Lonchura striata: one gene and its partner. The protein of the gene in region 2 interacts with the protein of the main gene of each other region in a biochemical or structural test. Links are inferred from orthologs where the notes say so. Each region holds a gene or a part of one and is shown on either strand. Other genes may lie near its edges.

The links.
Region 1: the proteins of GABBR2 (region 2) and KCTD12 form a complex in vitro, tested with the Homo sapiens proteins (2 studies listed by BioGRID). The link is inferred for Lonchura striata from reciprocal best matches to the Homo sapiens genes GABBR2 and KCTD12.

What each region holds. Positions count from the first base shown.
Region 1 is NC_134604.1:49,126,988-49,136,283, reverse strand, and holds KCTD12 (BTB/POZ domain-containing protein KCTD12), read right to left. Parts: upstream 4,525-9,296; coding exon 3,526-4,524; 3' UTR 74-3,525; downstream 1-73. UniProt on the Homo sapiens protein: Auxiliary subunit of GABA-B receptors that determine the pharmacology and kinetics of the receptor response. Increases agonist potency and markedly alter the G-protein signaling of the receptors by accelerating onset and promoting desensitization.
Region 2 is NC_134603.1:62,278,697-62,288,336, forward strand, and holds the start of GABBR2 (gamma-aminobutyric acid type B receptor subunit 2), read right to left. Parts: upstream 3,826-9,640; 5' UTR 3,803-3,825; coding exon 3,732-3,802; intron 2,930-3,731; coding exon 2,620-2,929; intron 1-2,619. UniProt on the Homo sapiens protein: Component of a heterodimeric G-protein coupled receptor for GABA, formed by GABBR1 and GABBR2. Within the heterodimeric GABA receptor, only GABBR1 seems to bind agonists, while GABBR2 mediates coupling to G proteins.

The DNA of each region.
Region 1 (9,296 bases), on a different chromosome or scaffold from region 2:
ATGTGATACAGTGGGAGAACAAAGCTAACAACAACTGCACAGAGAATAAAAAGGACAGCATAAACCACACAACTGAGTTAATATTTAAAGAACAAAAATTTAATTTGGTATGCAACTTTATCCTAGGAGGATCTTTATTTTCAATGCTATACATGTGAAAATAAGAATGAATAAGTGGCTCATTATCTACATGTATAAAAATATAAACATCCTATCAAACATATGCAAAATCACCCTTCATGATATGCATCACTGAAAAGACCTATGCCTAACTTCTAATTAAAAGAAAGACTGCCCTTGTGGATTTTTAATAGCACTTGTAAATGCTACTGCATTCATCCATAAGTACATGAATTATGAAAGAAACAGCTACGAAATGTAGACAGGACTCCAGTATTGTGCCTTTATATTTTTGTATGTTTTCATGTCAACAAGTCAGCAGTCATTGTGTTTATCCATTCTTCAAGCTCTCAATAGAACAGACAAGTAAAACTCATTGACTTTGCCTTGAGCATTTTTCCTTTTAAAAAGTTTACTGCCATTACTAAGTAATGGTTCAGAAAAGTATCATCTTCTGTGGCAAAGCATTTACGGCACCATCATTTTAAGCCTGCTGACAATACTGATAATGAGTTATCAGTAAATTAAAGGCCCATTTCTTTACACTAATAACACTTAAAATTTTTTAGCACAAAGATTAAAAAAAAAAATCCTGTTTATATTACATCCATTTTTACATAAAAAGTGAGAATTACTGGGTCATCTGCCAGGAAAGGGATAGGCAACTATTAATCAAAAGACAGGCAATCTTTGTTTTAGAGATGCATTCAGCCTCCTAGAAGATTCACATTCAAGCAAATATGTCATCAATTTCAGTTCTACAAGCTGATGATATTCATATTCAGTTTTTCCATTGAAATAGGTATAAGAAAGCAGTAAAACATTACCATATTATATACATAACATAATGTGAAAATGCTCAGGTAGATACATTATGAAATCCTGTAACACGAAAATTATTAAAAAAACTAAATGATTTGTGTAAAATGTTAATACACTCTATATATATGTACACTAAACCACAAGGTCAATTTAAAACTGCCCCTATTCATAGCTCCTATGATGGATTTAGTAAGCTACCAGATTCTTAAAAAAAGAAAGCTATCTAGAGCAAATTTGAACACCTTACTGAAAACTGATTTTATACAAAATCTTAAAAAACATACTTCAGAGTTACTTAACGGAAACTAGAAAAAGACAGTCATTACTCTCGAGAAGGGCACTGTAAAGACCTAGTAGCTGTGATCAATGTCTTTTCCCTTGTGGTAAAAGTTAAGCACAAAGAAGTCATCTCAGAGTAAGGCATAGGACAAACAGACTTCATTCCATCCTCAGGTGTATTGGCCTCTCACTGTATCTTATTGCTCATCTGATTTGGCAGGTTTACATTTCTATCCTTTTAAAAATACTCCATAATACAACTACCTACAAATAGACAGTATCCAGTGCTTTCATATGCACATCTTCAATTCAATCACGTTGATAAACAACCTCGCTAATATTAGCAAAAAGAAGCCGTGGTGACACAAATTATTTTCAGTTTTATGTAGCGGTGCACTTAATGAAAGAACTTAATGAAAGACCAAGTGAAGAGAGACTGAGCACTGAAACTCTACAGAAATGTAGCTATAGCTTTTCCAAAGGAATTAGGGTTTTTTAAAAAAGCCCTACTGTGAAATTCTTTGGTTAGAATACAGGTGCTATCAGTATTTCTAAATTTGGAATTAGAATTAGAACTAGGTAGAAGTAGAATTATTGTTCAAGAGTTTTAAAAACATAACTTCAAGCCTTTAATATGTACTGCTAAATTCTTCAACACTTCAGATAAATTTAGGGTATTTTTCTGTGATGGTCTGAACAGGCTACACACATTCTTAGATCAAGTTTAGGTTTTTAAAGGGAAGTGCTTTTATATTCCAGACATCAATAATTTGTTAGAAAGAGCTGCTGAATCTCCATAAAACCTGTGGTTCAGATCATCTGTTCCAATGCAGACTCTGACTGCCTCCTCTGGGAAAGACTGTTATTCAGCAGTAACAAAATACAGCTCAGAAGTAATTTCCCCTGAAGAAAGTTGGCATCATCCTTGTTTTTCTGAGGACAGGGCTCAATCCTTTCTAAGAAGTACTAAGTTTGCCTGAGAAGAGGTACACAGCTCTTAGCAGTGTCAATGCCCAGATAATACTGCGATGAAAACTAAGGAAATGACTCTTTAAAAAGGGATATTTGTCATCTGTTGGCTTCAGAGTTTTACGGGACTAACATGACAAAAAGTAACAAGGGTGCTCTTGATGACAGTTATAATGTACATCTGCACTAATTCAATGTACATTATTTCAGCTTCCCAGGACCCAGCCCTACCTTTACTCAGGCAAGCCTAGCTTCACCTCATTCCCATTGTTTTGAGTGTGTTTAAGGAAATACACATTGAGATTTCTGTCCATATTAAAGACAGTAACTTCAAGAGGATTATAAGGACTTCAGACCACCCATGGAAGTTACAAATCACAAGAACTTTAATTTTTCAAAGTGTTTTTGTTTACCTCTCAAAGGAATAAACATATGTCTCTGAGGACACTTCATAGTTCAAATGGTTGTCAAATCTGTCCTTTGACATCAGCCTTACATGTTCTCTGTGCAGGCCCTGGTCCAGCTTAACAGAGATGAGTTCAGAGACATGGGGAGCAAAGAGGGGAGATAGGAGCAACCAGTTGTGAAGGGCCACGTGCACGCCTCCTGCAAAATTACTCATCTTAGCAGATAAAGTATGAGCCAGTGCAAACCCCTCACAGTCAGGCTTCCTTTCTATGTGACAGTCCTTCACAGACAGGCATCACTTTGATGGGTGGGAAAAGGAGGAGTTAAAAATGGACCATTTGGGGTCTGCCCACCAAGGCAAACTCTCTCATAAGGGTATTGGGATGGGAAAAGACAGGCATTTGTCATGCCATCTTTAACAAAAGTTGCTCAAAGCAACTTTAAAGTTTCTCAGCCCCTAACTGGATGGTTTTTTAAATGCCCCACCCTGCCAGAGCTATACCTCAGCTCTGTGTGGGGAGATGGATAAAAACCATGCATGCTTTTGTGGGACTGGCATTTGTCTACTCCCAACATTTCTCTCCTTCCTTGCTACCAACACAGCTACTGGGAGATGCAGGAGGGAGGGTGAAGGTGGGAGCCAGGATATGGTGGCTGATCAGGGACGTGGTGGCCAAGCAGGGACACGATAGCCGAGGCACAACACAGTGACCTCCTGCCCCGGGGCCGTCAGGAGGTGCTGCAAGAGGGGTGGGGGCTGCGCCGGGGCTGGCCCGCCTTGTGCGTGGAGGCAGACACCGGGGTGAGAAAAGCACAGGGAGACACAGCCCCGCTTCACATCCTCCTTCCTTCAGGATGCGAGGGGACCGTAGGTGCGAGGGTGTGCAGGGCCGGCTGTCTTGTCCCCACGCCACAGGCTGCTGATGCTCAGTCCCGGCAGAAAACATACTCGGTGTAGCTGGTCCAGATCTTGTCATCGGCGGGACCGCCCTGCTCGGGACCGAAGGCGCAGGTGCCAGTGGAGGAGCAGGCGGCCATGCGGAAGCCGGCCTCGGAGAGTCGGTCGAAGGCTTGCTCGAGGAAGTTGAACTTGAGGTAGTAGCGGGCAGTGTAGCGCTCGGGAGGACGGTCGGGGTCGCGGCTCTCGTTCAAGGTCTCCCCGAACACCTCTTTGGCCAGCGCCGTCTTGCCGCAGACAGTGATGCGGGCCACCCGCCGGAATTTGGCATCAGCCTGCGCCTCCCGCCCGATGGTGTAGGAGCCCCGGTAGCCGATGGTGATGTAGCCCGAGCGCCGCCCGCCCGCCCCGTCCAGCGACTGCGAGGGCGTGAGCAGCGGTCCGCCCGAGGGGCTGCGGCTGGCGGTGGGCGACGGGGCGGACGCCACGGCCCCGCCGCCTCCTTCCAGCGGCTCGGCCTCCAGGTAGCCGAGGAGCGGGGCCGGCGGCTCCTCGGCGCAGATGGAGCCGTCGCGGTGCAGGACGGCGGGGCGGGCGGCGGCCGCCCGAGTCTGCGCCAGGCGCCGAGCCAGGTCGGGCAGCTGGAAGTACTCAGCCTCCCGCTGGAGGCGGCTGCGCTCGGGGAAGTGCTCGGGCAGCACCAGCTGCAGGTCCCGCAGGTAGTCCAGGATGTAGCGGAAGAGGAAGCCGTCGCGGTCGAGGAAGAAGCGACCCTTGCTGTCCCGGGGCAGCTCGCTGGGCTGCTGCTGCGAGAACATGCGCCAGAGCAGCGAGTCGCGGACCGAGACCACGGTGCAGCGCCGCGTCACGTACACCTGCCCGCCCACGTTCAGCTCCACGATCTCCGGGAAGGAAGACCAGCCGCCCGTCGCCGCTGCGGCCGCCCCGCTGCCCGGCGCCCCGCTCCCCGCCGCGGGCGACACGCCGCCGCCGTTGGGCAGCCCGCGGGCGCTGTCCGCCAGGGCCATACCGGAGCGAGCCCGCCGGAGCCCACGCCCTTCCTCCTCCTCTTCCTCCGGCCGCCTGGGCTACGGCAGGGCCGCCGCCCTCGGGGGAGCGCGCAGCCCTCCGCGGCTGCCCGCCGGAGCCTCCCGCCCCGTCCGGCGCCGGAGCCGCGCTGCCGCTGCGCTCCTCGCGGCCGCTCCTCTGCCCGCTGCCGGACCAACTCCTCCGTCGGGCTGCGAACGGAGAGCCCCGGCACCGGCGGCAGAGCCGTGTTTATGTAGCGCGGCCGCACCTCGCGGGAGGCGTGGGAGGCTGGCGGGAGGCAGAGCCGAGCGCACGGGGAGGAGAAGGGGACGGCCCTGCACTGACGCAGGGTCCCCCGTCGTCGTCCGTCCCCCGTTCCTCCCCCGTTCCCCCCCCGCCCGGTCCTCCTTCCCCGGTTGCGGCGGGGAGCCTCTCCCCGCCCGGTGCGCGCCCGCCGGGCTCCCGTCGCCGTGGGCGCGCACCGCGGTGAGTGTCCAGCGGGGATAAAAACTTGGGGTCCTGCCTCCCCCAACCCTCCAGCTCGCTCCTCGGATTCTCCGGGACGTCTCGTTTTCCGCAGGCAGAAAAAGCCCTCTGTTTGCCCCGAAGTGTACGAGCGGCGGGACGCTGCCGCTCTGCCGCAGGCGCTGTGCTGTACCCCTGCTAATCTTCCTAAGGCTTGTCCCAACCCTCTGTCAATGGGAGCCCCGGCGAGATAACCGTGTCCCCTCCCTCCTGTCGCTGTCGCAGGAGAAAACGCGAGCCTGTGGTGCTGCCGGCTCTCCTCAGGCGGCTCCCGGCCCGTTCCGGGTTTGCGAGACACCCCCATCCCTACGCAGGTTTTAGACGCCCTGCAGGACTCCGTAAAGCCCCCGCCGATCCTCACTCCCGGAGGGAGACGCGACGGATCGCACCGTCGGGAGGCGCCGGGAGCGCCGTGCAAGGGATGCGCCGCCGGCCGGGGGAAGACCCTGGTGGCGAGGGACACCTCGGCGCGGATGGGGTCCCCTCCAGCTGCCTGCCAAGCGACACTTCACCGTGAGAGCCAGGCTCCTCGTGTCTGCGTGCATATTTGTGTATTTAGGTGCCCTTACAGCTCAGATTTAATTAGGATTAATTAGGTACATCAGGATCTGCGTGAAACATAAGCACCTATTTAACATGCATTGGTAGAAAGCATTTGTTTCAGGCTCTTGCTTGAATTTAATCTACCCTTCTGTGTCTCTCTGCAAGCAATAGTAAAGAGCTGCTGCCTTGATGCATTCAGTTCTCTCCAGAGGGAGTTCACGTGTGCTTTCTTCCTCGAGAGGACAGCTCGGAGGACAGGAAGGTCTGAGGAGTATGAAGGCAATGGTCAGTGCTCTCCTTTCGTAGGGGTGAACGAAGCCCTCTCTGGACTACCCTACTGCAAGTGCCCCACTGCAGTTGTCTGTGAAGTAGAAATCAAAAGAGGCAGAGGCAGGGGCTAGAAGTCCTTCAAAAATTGAGAAGTGAGAAAGGAAGGAAAGGCAAGTTAGTTCTCGAGAAGCAAGTTAAGTTTGCCCAAGAGAAGAAGAGGAAGAAGAGGGGGAGTTGAGAAAGAGAAGTTTTGAAAAGGGAATGGGTGGTAAAAAAATAATGTGTCTCGGGAGAACTGACAGGGAGATACTGTGGTCTAAGAAAGGAGATGAGATGGTCTGGGGAGAGTGGTCACTCGGAATTTACAGGAGTCTCATCTGAACAAGACTAAGAATATTGTAACAAAGATGTGGACCACTACTTTTTCCATGGTGGAAATCCAGTTACCAGGACTTTGACCACCAACTATTTTCATTTGTGGGAGTGGAATGGCAAAGTAGGTTAATCTGATGCTTTGCTGACATTTTGTTACAAGAGCTTGTTGTGTCTTTTTTCTTTCTTTCTTTTTTTTTTTTTTTTTGGTTGGTTGGTTTTGGTTTTTGCTTTGGTTGTTTGTTTTTTATGTGGGTTTTTTTTTGAGAGAGAAGTAGAAGAGAGGTTAAAACAGTTCTGAAAGATGAGGGGAAAATTAAGTAATCTTGAATTAAGTTGTTTTGCTACCCATTTAAACAGCTGAGTTTGTTGATAGAGGAAAAAAAAAGGAGAAGTAATGTGACACACAGAAGATTTGGGTTTTTTCTGTATACTATTTCAGGGTCAATTCACCAGAGTAAAAGCACATGAAATTTTCACGTGGTGGTTTGCTGGTGACAGTTTTATGGAGCTGGTCTCTTAATGTGGCATCTCCCCCCACATCACCCTGCTCCTGGCCATACTTAGCAGGAAGCCACCTCAAGAGCCTCCTACAGATTCGTATTTTAAACTCCACTTCCCTAGTGTGGGCTCCCTATCGAGAGCACTGTGATTAAACTGTGCACCCAGAGGATGAGATCATATAATGCCTGAGCAGGCGCTTATTCATAGCAGAATTTGCAGTGAAAGATTTTGTACCTACCAGCAGGTGAGTTTTAACAAATGCTCCCATGTTAAAAAATGGGATCTTTAGTTCATCTTTTATTAAAATTACTTCATTTTTCTGGCATTAGGTGAATATTAATGCAGATCAAGGAAAAAAAAAAACTCTAACATATTCATTAGACTTGAACTTTCTGTTTGTATTGAGCTTTGTTAGATTTGAGACCAGACTTCAGAAAACCTGAGCTTCATGGATTCTTCCTGGGCATATTTTCACAAGCTTCAGAGATGAGTAAGTTATGCTGCCCCTTCAGCCACTGGCTCCTCAGAGCTTTACCTCTGCCTGCCTACTGTCTCATGGGAGGTCGGGTGACAAGGACCCACCGTGCTCCTGTGCAGCACCTGATGATGTCCAAAGCCACGCACATTAAAGGGGTGTGGAGGAACTCAGCTGACACAATAAGTTATTTGGCCCAATGTCTCAGGTCTCTTTTTAAGGGCACAAACCAGTACATCCCACTGTAGTGTTCTCTCTGTCAATGTGAAGCTGACTCCAGGGTCCCCTTCAAAAAGGGAGCACGGAGCCTTCTCAAGATGCTGTTCATACAGCCTGTTCAACAGTCCTGGGCAAAGACCCAGCTTGCAGTGTTTGTCTCTGAGATGGATGTAATTTTCTGGGCTTAAAAACATGCCCAGCACTGAAATAACTGTTTTGAAGCTACGTCTCTTCAGAGAAATTATATTCTGTGGGCATCTCACTGCTGTTTTATGCCTTGCCTGTCTGCAAGTCTTTAGTTATTGTGACTTCTTTCGTCAACAGATTTTTCCTCTTTTCACAATATGTTCATCTAATTTCTCCTTTTCCTATCTCTTTTCATTTGGCAACATTTGTCTCAGTGAGGAGGATTGGACTTCATCTGTGGGTATTACAATGGGTAAATATATCAACAATTTTCTACTTATGTGTCAGTCACTGGGTTGCGTAACACAGTCGTAGTGGTTTATTCTTATTTTGTGTGGGAGACAGTGAAATACTGGTACATGTAACATTAAAGGCTGCCACTGAATGCCTTCTGTAAGGCATACAGCCCCCATAAAGGGTGGTAAATATTAAATATGTTCTAATACACAGGCAAGGCTTTATGACAAATGTGTAGTTGACTATCTCTGACTGTGCAGTATTGGGACATTTCTGGGCAGTAGCTCTTACAGTTAAGACAGTCACATTTCAATGTTTGCTATTAGCTGCTGGCCAGAACTAGCTACCTGGCAGGATACAACAGTTTTTCTTCTTTTAATATTTTGAGAAGTTTCCATTGGTTTGGGGGGATTGATTTAGTTGATTTGGGGGGTTTTGTGGCTTTTTGTTTGTTTGTTTGGTGGGGGGTGTGGAGGAGGCTTTTGTTGTTTCCATGTTTACAAAGATGCTTCCATCGCGATGGGCCCGTTTTGTATTTTGGGCGGTACATCCATGGATGATCCAGGTTTATTCAGGGAGGACAGTTCTCTTCACAAATGGAGGAAGGATAGCATCTAGTGGCAGTAAATCCACATTGCAATTAAGACATACAAGGGGCTCTAGAGTATTGGCTGCATGACCCGAGGTACATAAAGAGTAAACGATACTTTTTCGGTAGATGTAAACTATTATGTATTCAGCTTCTTCGTGAGAAACTTAGTAGAGCAAGAACATATTTTATCACTGTTCCAAACTAAAAGTGTTGGTTTATTATTTCTTCTAGCAGTCTTTGCTATGTGAAGTGATACAATATTGCTTAGAAAAAACCTAATTGCAAATGACTGCATTGCTTGAATTTTAATACTGAGTTCAGTTAAATATTTAGCCTTCTGCATAAAATTGTCAAAAAGAGTTAGTGATCTGAACAGAACTGAACTGGAGGTTCAAATACACTCATTTAAGCTTCACAGTCTTGTTTAGACAATGCAGAAAAAAGTCTAGTAGTCCCACAGCAGAGTATATTGCCTAAGAGTCATGAATCCTTTGTGTTATATGCTCTCTAAAATGTGTGCAGTTCCATAGGTCTGACTTTGACAGTAAATGAATGACTATTAGGCTGAAACCTTTCCCATTTCTGAACCATTGTTCAGAGTGAATTTATCAGCCTCAGCATTATGCTCAGGTGATACCAAGTAGTATTTCCAAAAACTTGAATTATGCATTATTCCACCTAATGACAGAAGAAGAATTCAACTCCTTCTAAAGACAGTTCCACAGACTGTATCTAGTTGAACATAAATGCATACATTCATAGATTTCAATAATTCATGTGAATTGTAATGAATGTTACCTGTGAAGTTACATCTGAGAATATCTGTTCATAGAAATTGTTTTGTCTCT
Region 2 (9,640 bases):
AAAACCAATCTAGTTTATTTTCATTATTGTTTTTCACAAGCACTTAAAGTATTACAAAAAATTACAATACAAGGATCAGACTGCAACAAAGACGGATTTTGGAGACACAAGGGAGAATACCTGAATTAGTAAATCACTGCCATGCATTTCCTAAGCATTATAAATATACTACAATTATTTCTCAAGCTATTAAAAAATCCTATGTGTTCAAGGCTCTACATTCTCTCTTTCAAGAGCCAACAATGTCACAAGCACCACCTGTGAAGCCCTGAGAGGGAGAACTACTCCCTGGTCTCTGATTATGCAATGATAAGGATCCAGGCCCTTCAGGCATAGCTATTTATTGGCAGTCTCAGAAAATAGGCTGAGAATCAAGTGGGCATGATGAGCCAGCTACCCTCCTGCTTATCGTAAGTGCACTGAAGGAAAAGGGTAATGTCTGAACCGACTGAAAAAGTTTGTGCTGCCATTAGGTATTTAATGGCTATTCCAGGCATTCGTCCATTCTGTTGGGTGCAGTCAATCTAGCACTCTTTATGGACACTAACTTATTTACTTGTCACTATTAAGCATGCAATAATGACCCAACTGTACTCTAAACATGTACGGTCACCTGAATTAGCATTCCATAACCATGCATTTATTAATTTCTTAAAAGCATTTAAAGCAACACAGCAAGGTAGCAACATGACCCTGATTTCTTATGTCCCTGGAGTACTAACAGTAAAATTTTAAAGAAACTGATACTCATTCCAGAACAAATAGGGTAATTTTTTTCCTGAATATTTTTATGATAACTACCTAGTTCAGAACCCAAAATCTCTATGAAGAGTGCCACAATATTTTGACTGCAATAAAGTGCAGCACCTTCTTTATTAAGATATTACTGTAAGAAGAAGGGACATCCTGCCTAGGCTTCTCTAATTCCTATGCCTATTTTTTTAATAATTCTATCCACAGGAAAAACTAATATAGATTAACGTAATGAAAACAGGATTAGGAAACCTGTGAATTTTTTCCTGACATGCATCTCACTTTATGAGACAGGTAATGCCATTCAGAAAATCCCCCATAATTCTTTTCATTACAATTGCAGAGTTCCCTGAGATTCATCTTTTTAAAGAAACAAGCAGCTACTCTAGGTTGATCTTGCCTGTATTCCCTGTCAGTATCTAGTCTTGTTCACACAACACAACAGGATGGCAGCCTGCTCCTTCCTAAGTGACATCTTCAGCAGTATTGCCCTCCATGCATTTCTGCTCAGTGGTTGGTGTTTTTTTTTGTTTTTTGTTTTTTGTTTTTTTTAACACTATGACAAATTTATGTCAATAAAAAGCAGCCACCCTGGAAGGAGAGGCCTTTGGTAGTCATTTTAGGGACGGAAACACTGTCACGATACAGTACAGCCTGTCATTGCTGCTCTCAGTTTGTTCCCCCCGGACCTGAGAAACCTAAAGGGAGCACAGGGGCTTCCTTAAATTACAGCCGGCAAGATTTTCAGCAGTCACTTGCTTTACCGGGGGTTGTCTTGGAAGCGAACCCCGACCGCCAGCATTACACAAGAAGTGACTGCCATCTTCAGGGGAGCCCCGGTACCGGACCCGCGCCTATCCTCCGCAAACACACAGGTACTGAAGTTGTGACAAAAACCAAAGGCAGCTGCGGGCGGGCGGTAGTGGCAACCAGCTCCACAAAGCCCTCGCCCCGCTCCCTGCCTCTCGCTCCCAGGTAAAGGGAGCGTGTTTCCTCGCTCAGCAGGGCTCCCCGCTCTCCCAGCGCTGACGGCCGGCCGCTGGCAGCGCTCCGGAACGGGGGCAGGCATCCCGCCGCACTGGCAGCGCTCCGCAGGAACCGGCACTGCAAATTTAGTTCTTCCCGAGAAGCGAGCGCCTCCGCGCCCCGCCGCCCGCCTGCCACGCACCCCCGGACGAGCGCTCAGCCGCTCCCGCCGGAGGGCAGGGACGGGGGGAATCTCGGCGAACCCCTGCGAAGCCTCCCCTCCTCCTCCTCAAGCTACGGCTGCGACCGCTGCCCTCCGCGTCCCGTCGCCGCATGGGATAAGCCGGGCTGGCGGCGTGAGCCCGTTGGCGGAGCGGGGGAGCGGAGCGCCCGGTGTGCATCTGTTGCTGAGCGGGTGGCGGCTGGCACAGGGATGCGGCCGCGGCTTCGCTGGGCGAGGCAGCTTTCCTCCCACCGGTGTACGTGCGTGCCAAGGGCAGCGGATCCCAGCCACCGCCACCGACAAGAGCCCCCGCCGCCCGGGCACCCGTCCGGGCCCACCCCCGCGCTGCAGGCGACTCCCGGACAGGGGCGCTTCTGGGGCGGTGGGGCGAGCCCCAGCTGCCGGGGCAGCCGCTCCTGGTAATACCGGGCGGGCAGGATTCGGCCCGCCGGCTCCACGTCCTCCCCCTCCGCCGCCGGTCCCTGCACATCTGCCGGCAGCCCGCGGGGCCGGGCGGGCAAGGCGGCTCGGAGGCGGCGCGCACGGCCCCGCCGGCAGCCGCAGCCCCGGCCCGGGCGTCCGCGCTGCCCTTGCGCCCCTGCACCCGCAGCGCCCCGGGACTGGGCGGCGGCGCCTCCCCCTGCGCCCGGCGGCGCGGGGCCCGCGGCGGTCCCTACCTCCGTGTCGTAGACCCGCAGGTCCAGGGAATAGGGGTTGAGCAGGGATTCGTTGCGGATCTGATCCATGGCCAGATACACGGCGGGTAGCACTCCCTGGGTGATCCTGCTCTCCTCCTCGGACTGGTTGACCGGCATCAAGCCCATGATGGAGATCGGCGTGGTGGCGTTGGGGGGCAGCCCGGCCGTCCCCCGGGAGCTGCCCCGCGACCAGCCCCAGCCCGGCGGCGCCCAGCCCAGGCACAGGAGCAGCAGTAGCATGGCAGGGTTGGAGGTGGCAGCGGCCGGTCTCCGCGGAGAGGGATGCATGCTGCTGGATGGGGAGGAGGAGGAGGAGGACTGAGGGTGGGGGAACGGGCTGAGCGGCGGAAGAGAGCCGAGCCCCTCTCAGTCTGGGCGCATCCCCCGGCGGCAGAAGCCAAGGCGGGAGGGAAAGATCTGCCTGTCTCCTCTTCCTCGGGAGCCTCGGGGTCTCCTCTCTCTTCCCCCCCCCCCCTCCCCTCCCCTGGCAATAATCCTTCTGGCAATGGCGCCTACTCCTTCCCAGGTCTGCCAGCTGCAACCACCAGGAGCAATAAATAAATAAATAACCACCACCACGCACACACAGACACTCTCCTCACCACCCTCCTCCGCTCTCCCCGGCGGCACAGCAAGGGAGCGGGACCTGCCTCTGCCTCCTCGGCAGCTCTCCACCCTCTCCGCTCAGGGAGGGACAGCACCTCTCAGGCGCGGGGGGGGTAGCCGAGCAGCCCTCATTGAACACTTCCTTCCTTCCCCCTCCTCCTCCTCCTCCTCCAAAAGGGTGAAAAGGGAAAAAAGGGATGCTCCGGCAGAAAACGCCGAAGAGGAAAAAGCCCCCCCTCTAGAGCCGGGGAGGCGGAGAAGGGGAGCGGTGCCGAGCCGGGCGGGGGTGCTAATGCCGCATTCCGCGGGAGCCGGGGCAGCCCCCGCCGCGGGAGCGAGGTGCCGCCTGCGCCCTTCCTGCGGGTCGGGCAAAGCCGCCGGGCAGGATGCGCGGCCGCGGGCAGCGCAAAGTGTGCGGCGGCGGCGGGGGCCGGACCGCGCTCCCTCTTCACGGCATCAGCGTTCGCTGCCTGTGGGTCGGGCACCTTCTCCAGGTGGAGCTGCCAAGGCGGGCGCGGGTGGGCGCGGGGAGGTGCGAGCTGCGGCCGCTGCCCATCGGCGCTGTCCCCACGCGCGACCCGCCCGGCACACGCACGGAGCCCGCTGGCAGGGCGGCCCGGCGCGGGCGGGCTCCGCGCACTCTCCCCGCCCTCCCCCGCGCACACGCGGCACGCAAACACGCTCCCACTCGGGCTCGGCACCCCGCACACGCACACGCGCAGCCAGCCCGGGCCACGGCAGCTCTGCGGCACGCAGGAGCGGGGCGTTTCGCTAGAGCAGAAGTCGTGGGGTTTTGGTGGGTTTTTTTGGTGGTTTTTTTTGGGCTTTTTTTTTTTTTAAACCGGTTTCTTTTCCCCTCAGAACTGGCGGGTTTTTGGAGACCCTGACACTGCTCAAATTACAAAAAACAAAAACAAATAAAAAAAAATAAGGTTGCGGCAGGACTCTGAGCCTCCCCGAGGGCTGTCGCAACCCTGTGAATAGTCTGTGGGAAGCGAGCCCTTTCCACACATGTTCTCCCAAGTAATTGTCACCACATCACAGTGGCTGTGGGGCATAGCCCATAGACAGCCCATGGCTTTTTGCGTTGCTCCCAGGCTATCCTCCCATCCCAGGGAACACGTTCACACTGCCCACCCACGTCCGTGGTCTGCAGAGTCCCAGAGCAGCAATTCACAGATCTGTTTCATCTCAGGTAGATCCCATACCTGTATGGGTACAGGCAAAATGAAAAACTTTTCTTAACCCTGCCTTAGGCACCTCACTTTTTATACATATTCATAAATTTCCTGAGGTCACTCCAAGCAAGCCTTTGAAGATCAACCTAATACATCTAGTTTATGTTACACTGCAATGGCAGCATGTCTGCAATAAATTGGAAAGAATTTTCATGGATTAATATATTCTAAGATTGTAAGATTTGACCTTGGGCCAAAAGCCCTCAACCAGTAATTTCATAACATTTGTTGCGTTACAGCCTTTCACGCAGAATGACATCCAGCAGTGTTGACTTTAAGATATCAGTAATGAAGAGTCCATCACTTCTCTTGATAAATCATTTCAATTATTAATTAGTTTGCTAAAAGGTGTATTTCATATTCCGTATCAATTTGTCTTATTCCAACTTCCAGCCACCAGTTCTCATCATACCTTTATTGGCTTAAGGGAATGTAGTGTCAGGGATCTTCTCCCACCCACAGGGGCTAAGATTAATCACATCTTGCTTTTGTAAAAAACAAGGCCAACTTTCCCTCACCTCAAGAATCATTCCTGGAGGCACTTCCAATGCACCTCTCCTTTTTCCACATGATGTTGAACTGGCCCTTCTAACCCTGTGACCTGCCTGCACTGGGCCAGAAGCTGCAACCTCAGCACCTCCCTCAGTACCAGCCGGTTCCATAGGCTGGGCAGGTTGGCAGATTGAGAAACCTAATCCCTACAGGAAGACCAGGTAGTGTGTTGTCCTTGTAGGAATGTCTCTTTATGAAATCATCTGCACCATGTTTTTGATGCCTCAGATTTTAGCTTTTGTATTTTCCAGATTTTGTACTGCTTTAGTGTGTAGTTCTGAGCTTCATATTGGGGAATAGTAAGCTCTCCTCAGAGTAGGTAAAAAAAAATAATCCTTTTCTCTCTGGGGACCAAGGACAAATGATCCAAATTTCAGTCCCAAAAGCATAAACAACAGTGGACTGAAGAGAGAAAAACAAGAAGGATATGACTTCGTAATCTAAAGCCGTAATTGGACAATAAACTCCAATAAGATAATGGATCCGAATTTATAAAAGTGAGAGACATCCATTGTGTGATCATTTTGGTTCATCTTGGGTGTAGCCCTGGCTGGGCTCTTGTACTGCCCAAGGTGTATCTATTGAGACCTTCTAATAAATACCTACTTTATTATTTAACTCTCTCTAGTCTCTGTTCCAGGTCAGCCTTCAAAGACATCAGTTTCTGGTGACCCAGGTGGGACAGAAGGCATCTGGAAAACCCCCTGGACCAGAGCCAGACGAACATCCAGCTCTTGCCCCCTCTGCCCCCAATTCCTGCTGGCACTGCCTAAAAGCATCACCTACCTCCTTACTCCTGTGCATTTGGTTTTGCACTAGAATAAATCAAACCATGACCTTTACTTGTACAAGTGATTTGGCCAGCAGTTTGTCACCTGCAAACTTTCCAGCAACTCATTTTCTTCCAGAAAATTGATTATCATAACACCAAGAACATTCCTAGGATGCCAACAGAAATAGGTGCCATATTGATTTTGTGTAATGCTATTTTTAACCAGAATATCATATGCGAAATGATGTTTTGCCATTCTCAACTTGCTATGCAAGTTTGTCAAAATTAGTTTCACAGAAAATCTTTCTTCACTGCTTGTATACTGTATCATTCTGTGATTTTCACCAGTACTTGGCTACCAGTACTACAGCTACTTGGATCAATTTGATCATTTTACAATATTGGCAGTTTATTAGCACACACACTCACATTGTCTCTGGACTGTCATCATCTTTCCAAGAGCTGGGGTTGTTTTGGAAGCAATTTCTCTTTTTGAGAACTCAGTCTTTATGAAAGAAAGCTTGAGGCCAGGTTGTGTGTTACAACAGAATTAGTACCTTGGACATTATTAGCAACCACCTGACATCCTTCTTTACTACTGCTGCAGTAGCAAATGTCCTTTTGTTAGCTGAAGATTGAAATGCATCTCCTTGCTTTTCCCAGTACAGGTCAGAAACTTCACTGAGTGTGAAGTTCAAGGTTTGCCCTCATGTGGGAGGCAGAGACCAGCTGACACTGGTGTCCCTGCAGTGCACAGGGAAGGCCAGTGCTGGAGAGGTAGGGCAAAGAAATGCATCTAGGAGAGGTCTGCAGAGGTCTGGAGTATGGCTGGATATCGTTTAAACCAAGCAAAGCTGCACTTCAAATTACAGTATTTAACAAAGTGGTTCTTCTGACTTTAATCTGTTTGTTGCTGCATTCCCTGTCAGTAAAACAGGATGCTCTTCGTTAATGGTAAAAAAAAGATAAAACAAAACAAAAACAAACAAACAAAAAAAACCCTCACACTAAGAAAATAACTTTTATTTTTCAGTTTAGGGATTGGTTATGGGAATGCAAATAAGACTATATTGAACAATGAGGATTAGTTAAAGTAAGCCTCTCAAAATTCTTCCTGTGTATCAGTGAGGCATGAAAATGACAGTTTCTCCACCTTTTGTAAAAAGCATCAAAACCCCCCAACAAAAACAAACAAAAACAAACAAAAAACCCCAAGCACCTCCCATTCCCCCCACAAAAACAGTGGATGTATTGTAAGAAAATAATGTAATTAAAAATCATAGTGTAATAGACACACTGAAGCCAACTTCTGATTTCACAAAAACCTTTATTTCTGGCACCTAAGTAATTTGCAAGGAAGTTTCACATTCTTCACATATGTTTTCAGCATGATTCTCTGCTACAGTTATATTTTGTAAAGCCTGCTTCTTTCCAATTCTCAGCACTGAGAAATTTCTTCTTTCTTAGGTACTATGCTGCATTTATGAATAACAGATGCCCAGGTAACAGCTCATTTTAAATAAAAGTAGGCCTAAAGGAGAATTGCTCCAAAATGCTTATTAAATATTGTGTCAGACACAGGCACTGGCTCAGCTGCCTTTTTTTTCCCTCTTAGAAATACCCAGAACGTTTTGCTACCATCGAACTGGTAAAATAAATTCCCTAGGATGAAATCCTCTGAAGCAGCACACATTCTTTATCTGTTAGGCAAAAAGGCATTATATTCTCATTTGGTGGTCCACATCAGACACCCTCTGTTTATTCCTTGTTGATTAAAATATCAGTTCACAAGAACTGTAAAACCTCTTCACTCGAAAATCAAATGTCACTTTCTTCCTGGCATGTTACCCAGCCATTTCTGTGCTTCAATCATGTGAATCCTTCAACCATATTTCTGTAAAAACACTGTCAAATATCTTTCCGCTAATGAACACTTCCAATTTCTCAGTTACTTCTAAGTCTTCTCACAGCCTATGCACAATTAACAATTTTTTCTTTATATATTTATATTTGCTCATCAGAGTACCTAATTAACTTCACATTTAAGCATCTGTACTAGTATGACTCCCTTGACCACTTCTTCAGTTGCAAGTATCTTCAGACCATGGATAAAGTCAAGAAACTCAGAGAACTGATTTTCCATTAACACTAATAAATAAATTGCATCTGTTGCAAGTCCTCTCCTACTCTGGGAGATGGTTTGATGCTACACAAAATATGTCATGCAGCCCCTTAGGCCAGCAACTCACTTCCTGTATGTATTTTCCTGTATATTCATCTTAATACTTTTGGAGAGATCACTGAGAAAGTCCTGCCCTGTTTTTGTCTCCAGCCACCTTTGCAAATCCTGGAGCCATGCAATTCCTGTCAGTGCTGACAGGGACTGGTCTAATTAGGCTTTGTCTGTTCATAAAAATATCAGTGAATTGTGGAATTTAAAAAAATGAAAACTGTTAATCTAGGCATATTAATTTTAGCACTGCATGTACAGGCATAATGTTTTTCCTCTGTAAATGAGAAATGTAACAATACTGCAGTGCTCTTGCACCTCAGCAGAACAGGGGGAGCTTTCCCATCCACCTTTTCCCTCCCTCCCAAGGGCTTTCCCACCTACCTCAGCTAACTTCCTAGCCCAAAGTTCCATATTTGTTACAAGAGCATACAGCATTCTCAAACACCACCAAAAACCCTCCACAGCTGCAAGAGTATACACACAACTGCATGATCCTTACCCTACAGCCTCTCCAGACACCTTGATTGCTGTCTTTATATCAGGGTGTCAGGACACAGCTCAGCTTACTTAATCTCCAAATCTAAGGGCCTTAAGAGAGGCAAATGAAGTTAAAAGAGCATCAGATTTTAAATTACCAACCAAGCACTATCACTGTGTAAGTGCCGATGTTTTTATAAATAGGAAATAGGAGCACAATCTCATCAGTCCTGGTGTTATCATCCAACATGAATTTCCCCTTGCAGTGTATCTTACCACTTCCTATAAATATATCAAAAATTGAACACAGTTTTGAGTCTCTGTTTTCAACAGAGCCAGCAAGAAATACTATTTCCAATTTATGTTGACTGATGCATGTACAATGATGATTGTTGTTCCCAGGTATTTGTGCAAGCTCTAGTAATTCCCCAACATAATGGTTCAGACAAGGCCACACATACAGAGGTTTTAGTGGTTAATTTCTTAGAAGGAAGGTTCATGTACTGTCTTTTGTTGAAGTGAAAATCCAGTAAGTTTTAGCCCATGTTGAAGACTCATAATTTTTAAATGAAAGGAAATTAGTGAGTGAATAAATGAAAAAAAAATCTAAATCATTACCCAATAATTTCAAATAAATATGATAATTAGGTACCTGTCTATAGTCTGGATGGCTTTCTAAGAAAAGAAAAAAAAAACAAAAAAAAACATAAATACAGGCATAGAAGGACTAAGAAACAAGCATTAATTTGTGACTGAAATCCTCCAATTTTTCCATTTCTATAAGACATGCAGCCCCATCTCTGCTCAGGAGAAGTCCGAAGCTCACAGTCCATTCCTCGGCAGGTAACCCTGACCTCCTGCAAAAGGAAGTCTGGAAATGTTAAAGGAAGTCTGAAGATGTGCTTCATGACTCAGATGCTTGATGGAATCTTTCACCCTCCAAACCTGAAGCCAGGCATTAATACAACTCCAGTGAGCTGAGAAGAAGAAAAGGCTATCAAGGAATAAAAAATGATAAGTAGAAGGACTAAAAGGCCAACAGAGAGGGAGCAAGCTGGTGGCATTGCTAATGTTTGGTGTTTGCTTTTGAACTCAGCTGTGTTTGTCTAGCAAATATGCCAG